Daphnia pulex: one gene and its partner. The protein of the gene in region 1 interacts with the protein of each later gene in a biochemical or structural test. Links are inferred from orthologs where the notes say so. Each region holds a gene or a part of one and is shown in the gene's direction. Other genes may lie near its edges.

Region 1 (3,670 bases):
TATTGCGGAATAGTTGCCGATCGACGCTTACATGATCTCACCAGAGATGAAAAATAAAATCCCTGTGAAAATGTATAGAATCGAATTTTGTTTTACCTTCAAGACAAAGGGAATCGTAAAAAAATCTCAATTTTTATTGCTATTTTTTGTCCTTGAGGTTATCTAAGGTGTTATTTGAAGCGAGCCATTTCTTCCCATCATCCGCAACTTTTTTTTATTCGTGGTACCATTGTTCCAACGTCTTGGAACCAAATCTTCTGTTGTTCATCAAGCGACACCTTCTTTGTAGTTTCCTTTTACGATATGATGAGTGTGCAGTTCTCACGATTCACGATTTCTCACCACTGTTACGTAACATGTGGAAAATCCCATTTTATACGACATCATGTCTATTTGATTTATGTCGACAGCAAAAGCGGTATGAAAGGTTTGATGTTCTTCTGGTGATGTGAGCACAGGTTAATCGGGGTTAATCACTTTGTGTGCACCTGTCGTATAAACTTTTATTCCTGTAGTCAGCCAACAAAGAATAAAGCTTAATCTTTCGTTTCATGGAGGTTTGCGGTCTTACGGGACGTCTATTTTTAATCCGCATTTCGCTAAGTAAATGCTATTTAAAACCAGTTTTACCTGTACATTCGGCCATGAACTACCCCAATTACCACATCTAAATTACCTTGAGACATTTCAAATGGAAAACCCCGTTCACTGGTTGTTAGGGAGTTTGCCAATCGTGTGCAGGCTTGGTTAGACGGTTTTATTTGGTTAGAAATGTATTCCGGTTTTTCCCCAAATAATTGACAGAATGACTCATTCGAATCGATGTCTTTCAAACGTCTACATGTTACAGAGCGCCTCTGGTGGACAATACTTTTAAATGCGCATGGCAACAAAATTGAATGCACTGTAGTGGGCCTGTCTGTCAATATAGGGCTTGGTTTTAATCCGAACAAAAGGAGAAATTACGTTTTCCTAATCAGTTTACTGCGTATTTTTGTTTCCAAGGGACAGTGTAAAAGCAATATTGAAAGTCAGCAATAGTCAAGTTTGTAGCTTGCGACGCCCATAGTGGAATTGAAGGTAACAGGGATTGTCATCTCTTTTCTCAGTTTAGTTTCCATTAAATCAAATTATTTGTGTCATGAGGGTTAAGATGTTGTTGAGTTATTTTGCATTACCTAGAATTCTAGAAATCAAGTGACGCCCCTCACTTTCTTTAGTTTGCAAAAATGTTATCGTCTTGAATCCTCCCCCCTGGTACACGCGTTTCTTGGTTGTAAAGAAAATATATAGTCAGTGTGTCTAAGACTCACACGAAGTCATTTGGAAGCTCTGAAAGTTCTGAATATGTTTATATTTGTAATAATTGATATATATGTTTTATTACATCACAAATTGATTTTAAAGTGAAATTTTCTTTTTCTTTCCAGAGTTTCACCATGAAGACAGTTTTGTCTATTATCTTTGCTGTTGTACTGGTTACAAGCCAGGCCAAGAAGTTGAAGTCAAACAAGTATTTTAATCCTTTGTCAGATGAGTTTATCAATCACATAAATTCCATGAAATCAACATGGAAGGTAATATGACCCTTGTTTACTTACACTGTGTTTTGATGAATTACTTATGTTTCATCCTCCTAGGCTGGACGTAATTTTGGTAAAAACTTCCCGATGGGAGCCCTGACTCAAATGATGGGTGTACACCCAGATTCAAACTTGTACATGCCTCCATTGAAGAATGTCAGCCAGATGTTTAGTAACCAGGCTATTCCAGAGGCTTTTGATGCTCGGGAACAATGGCCAGATTGCCCCACCATTCAAGAAATTAGAGATCAAGGCTCTTGTGGATCTTGCTGGGTAATTTTTTTTAATTTGCTGATTTTAATGTCTCTTAATTTTTCTATTTATATTGGTTTCAGGCCTTTGGAGCTGTAGAGGCCATGTCAGATCGTATTTGCATTCACTCAAAGGGAGAAGTAAATGCTCATCTCTCAGCCGAAAACTTGGTCAGCTGCTGCTACACATGTGGCTTTGGATGCAATGGTGGCTTCCCTGGTGCTGCTTGGAGCCACTGGGTTAAGAAGGGTATTGTCACTGGAGGCAATTACAACTCAAGTCAAGTAAGTCGATATACTTAATTTTTAGGTGTGAATAATTACTGTTTTTCTGGCCATATATAGGGATGCCAACCGTACATTATTCCCGCATGTGAGCATCATACAACAGGTGATCGTCCACCTTGCTCAGAGGGAGGCGGTACCCCGAAATGCCTCAAGACTTGTGAAGATGGTTATACAGTCGATTATACGCAAGATCTTCACTATGGTATGTCCGGTTTTATTCTCGTTCTCAATTCAAATTAACTAACAGAGCTTGTTTCCTAAAAATTAGGTGCTTCTTCTTACTCTGTTCACAAACGTATGGAAGACATTCAGTTAGAGATTATGAACAATGGTCCAGTTGAAGGAGCTTTAACCGTTTACGAAGATTTTCCTACTTACAAATCAGGTATGAAAGAATTAGGCCTTTTTTATAATCATTTTTTATCGCTATTCTGATCTCTCAATTAGGCGTTTACCAACACGTACATGGAAAAGCACTCGGCGGTCACGCCATCCGAATTCTTGGATGGGGCGTCGAGGAAGGTGTTCCATACTGGCTTATTGCCAACAGCTGGAATACCGACTGGGGTGATAATGGTTATATCAAACTTCTTCGTGGGAAAGATCATTGTGGCATTGAAAGTCAGATCACAGCTGGTCTACCGAAACTCTGATTTTCTCTCAATATTACCTAAACGTTTACAGTTTAAACATTCTTTCTGTTCACCTGTCTGCCTTATTTTTCCTTCCTTTTATTATTTCTTTTTTCCAATCGAAAATTAACTAGACTGTTTAGGTTTTTGAACAAAAATAAATCGGTTTAGTTAAAATGATATCCTCCTAATCTTTATTGTTGCATTCCAACAATTGAAACTTAATTGGAAGTCCTTTTGGAATGAAAAGTAGCGTACTCGAATTATGTTGCACTGCAGTTTTACCATGTCTCTTCCGTTCTTTGTTATTGTTTCACAACAAAAATTTTTTTCTAATTCAAATTTCAAATCTTTGGGAATTTGAATAAGATTGTCCTTTGTGACGCTAGATGGTGGTGGTACTATTATTGTTCTTAATAAAATGGCGAAAGGGGTGTGAAATTAAATTGTGAATGTCTTTTCTGCGCAAAATCAATCAATTATTAACATGTAAGCTCATTTTTATCATTCTAACTTCAAAGCAATATTTTTTATCTCTCACTGTGTACTTGATTAATTGTCTACTGTACTTGAAACTCTTTATAATTTATAATAAATTGGATCTGGGGAAGGCATCAATAATCAATATCTTGAAGATTTACCACAGGAAGTTAACCTGAAATATTATAATTAGCCTAAAAATTAAATGACAGAAGAAACTATTATGCTTTGAAAGACATAGCTTGCATTATTACCTTGATTTCTATTGTCACAAGCACCTAGGTGCTAGGTCACACAAAAACTTCAGCTGAAACATTAAGTCTGAAAGCAACAAGAACCATTAGCTATAGGTTGTGTTATCTATTAATTAAAAACGGTCCAATAACTTACCTAAAAAATCTTAATCTAAATTTGTTTAGATCCTGTGTTCTGTTTG
Region 2 (2,796 bases), on another chromosome or scaffold:
TGTGATCTATAGATTCAGTTGTATATGAATATCAGATGAATATATCGTTAACATAGTTTCATGACACAATAAAATCTAAATTTTCTACAAAGCCCTGGCTAACTAAAAGTCGTTTTTCAATTATTCATTAGCAATACCTAGTGATGAATAGAAACTTTTACAAATCAAACTTGTTTCTTGAGTGCAGTTTTCTTTGTGGGACATGTGATAGGCCCACAGAATTCTCATTTAACGAAACATGTTCCATGTGTTCCTGTTCTGTTCACTTGACGGATCTGAACGTAAGGGAGAAATAGCACGACCGCAGTGGCGTCGCACAGTTGATTTCTGAAAAATAGTTTTCCTTGTTTTCTTTTATTTCTTAATTTTACATAAACTATAAAAGCACTTAAACTATGAATCGGGAAAAGTTTTAAAAACCCATAATTGTCGTCATAGCCTGGAGTAAAGAAATTTTTTTTTATGAGAACAAATCTGAAAGTTACTCATTAAAATATGTGGAAGATAATTGAGTCCGTCAGACCGTAACACAATTTTCTTTTACTGCTTCGCTAAGCTTTTCGCAAGACTTTTCGCAAATCTATTGAGGTTTTGCCAATTTCTCTGTCTCAAAAATGATATAATTCGTGTTCCGTGTTTCACGTTTCGCTTTCGCTTTCGCGTTTTTAGATTTGACGTTTCGTTTTCATATTTTAAGCTCCCTCGTGAAAATGAGATAAATGTAAAGGAGTTTACTTATACTGAGTCATTAAAGTTTAACTACTCAAGTGAAAGAGGAGAGTGAAGATTTCAAAGTAGTGGCGGTAGTGGAGTGATGTGCTCATTGTGATGTACCAATTCTCAAGATAAATTTCTCATACATACTTGATACTTCATCATGTAGGCCACATAGGTATATGTAACGTCGATTCTTTACGCTAATCAGCTACCTACAATGAAAATGAAAGTGAGCCGTGAGCCAATTTTGGGTTGAGTTGTGTTTGAATTCTGCTTTGGAAGTTTTAATAAATAGTGGAGTTAGAACTGCTTGAACTGCATTTTCCACATAATATTTACCTAAAATATAGTTTGACATCCAAGTCCGTTATTCCAATAGACCAATATTCTCGCTGTTAGAGTGATAGAAGGAGTAGAAATAAAAAATAGTAAATAATTAATCGTAGCTGTCAAAAGACAACAGCAGTCGATGCAACTTCTTCCGTCTACACAACTCCATCTTGCGTGAAAAACCAACAACGAAGAATTTACAAAAATAAAAGATTTTCCCGCATTTTTTTAATTTAATATAATTTTAGAAAAAAAAATAATAAAAAAAAAACAGTATTGGGTATTGCGTTGTAAAAAGATTAGGAGTTTCTTGAAATATTAACCTATTAATCTTATGAAGAAAAAAAGGGGGAGGCTTTGTTATGGAAACCACAAACCAGGACGTTAGTGTGACAACAACAAACAAAAGAACGGGCGTTGACTCATCAGCTGACGTGACGTCCATGCAGCAGTTTACCAACGAAATTTACCAAGTCGAATCGTTGATCAACGTCGAACACTTGTGGTGAATCATCATCTACAATTCTACAGCCTTACGTTACACACAAGTGCGCATTCTATTTCTAGTTCTAGTCTTGCTGTCTCAGTCTTCACTCTCCAGCAGATTCAGGCTACACTTTTTAACCTTACAGCTCAATATTGGTATTTTAAAATGTTCTATTTGATTTCTTTTACTGCACATAATCCATTCGACTATTAAAAAGCAAATTTTCTTAATTGTGATTTCTTCTTGCACCTCTAGAGAATGTCCAAAATGACAGGAGGAATCTCTGATAACGATGAGCCTGCTACTGCTGAAGTACAAACTTTGGTTGAACAAGTCAAAGACCAAATTACAGGAAAAATGAATGGAACTTTTGAAGTATTTGAAGCCATTACTTTTAAGTCTCAAGTAGTAGCTGGACGCAACTATTTTGTCAAGGTCAAGAACTGTTTAATATTCCTTTATTTTTCCTAAGTTTCTCATACACACTTTTAATTAAATTACCTATTGCATTGCAGATTCATGTTGGCAATGATAAATGCATCCATGCACGCATATACAAAAATCTGCAACGTGAAGTATCTGTTCATTCCATTCAAGAAGACAAGACTAGAGAAGATCCCATCACATATTTTTAACTTATATATTTCCATTCAATATTTTAATGGCACTTTTTATCATAAAAAATTAATAAACACATAAGACTTTACTTTGCTTTATGGAAATTTGAACATTTATTAGGTTAAAGTAGAAATACAATTAAGGAGATTACATGGTAATAAGGTTATCGTCTTTTGAAATTGGGAATGATGATGACAAATTTCCTTCAAATTCAGCTGTTGAAGCCTTTAAAGGGTTTGTGTTGTTATCGGTAGGTACTGTTGAACTTTTCTGGTTATTGCTTGGTTTGTTTCGTTTCTTCCTGATATGTTTGGGTCTGGATTTAACATTATTTTCTGCCTAGTTGTATTAATAAACCATGCAGAGTATTATGAAATGAGACAATATGAAGTTAATAACTGTAATACCTTTTCACTTATAAAGTCAGTAGCTTCAGCATAATTACTGGCTGCAGCAGCAGCAGCAGCAGCTGTGTGGTAATCAACTCCATGGTATTCGAGACGATCTTTCAGCTTTCTAAATGTTTGCACAGTAATCAAATATTTGAGAGGATTATGTAGTATGGGAAACTGTACTTGCACTGATTTTCAGATTTATAAATGAGTAGTTTCAAGTTGATCAGCCGAGATGAAAGGGCATCGTTG

Evidence for each region.
Region 2: the proteins of cathepsin B-like (region 1) and cystatin-B-like form a complex in vitro, tested with the Homo sapiens proteins (2 studies listed by BioGRID). The link is inferred for Daphnia pulex from reciprocal best matches to the Homo sapiens genes CTSB and CSTB.

What each region holds. Positions count from the first base shown.
Region 1 is NC_060028.1:8,221,878-8,225,547, forward strand, and holds cathepsin B-like, read left to right. Parts: upstream 1-886; 5' UTR 887-1,080; intron 1,081-1,220; 5' UTR 1,221-1,347; coding exon 1,348-1,359; intron 1,360-1,430; coding exon 1,431-1,577; intron 1,578-1,640; coding exon 1,641-1,856; intron 1,857-1,918; coding exon 1,919-2,119; intron 2,120-2,179; coding exon 2,180-2,324; intron 2,325-2,390; coding exon 2,391-2,507; intron 2,508-2,569; coding exon 2,570-2,775; 3' UTR 2,776-2,934; downstream 2,935-3,670. UniProt on the Homo sapiens protein: Thiol protease which is believed to participate in intracellular degradation and turnover of proteins. Cleaves matrix extracellular phosphoglycoprotein MEPE. Involved in the solubilization of cross-linked TG/thyroglobulin in the thyroid follicle lumen.
Region 2 is NC_060017.1:5,653,645-5,656,440, reverse strand, and holds cystatin-B-like, read left to right. Parts: upstream 1-1,441; 5' UTR 1,442-1,689; intron 1,690-1,789; 5' UTR 1,790-1,792; coding exon 1,793-1,969; intron 1,970-2,049; coding exon 2,050-2,169; 3' UTR 2,170-2,240; downstream 2,241-2,796. Other genes in the region: uncharacterized protein LOC124190305, read right to left, coding at 2,300-2,491, 2,560-2,668, 2,728-2,796. UniProt on the Homo sapiens protein: This is an intracellular thiol proteinase inhibitor. Tightly binding reversible inhibitor of cathepsins L, H and B.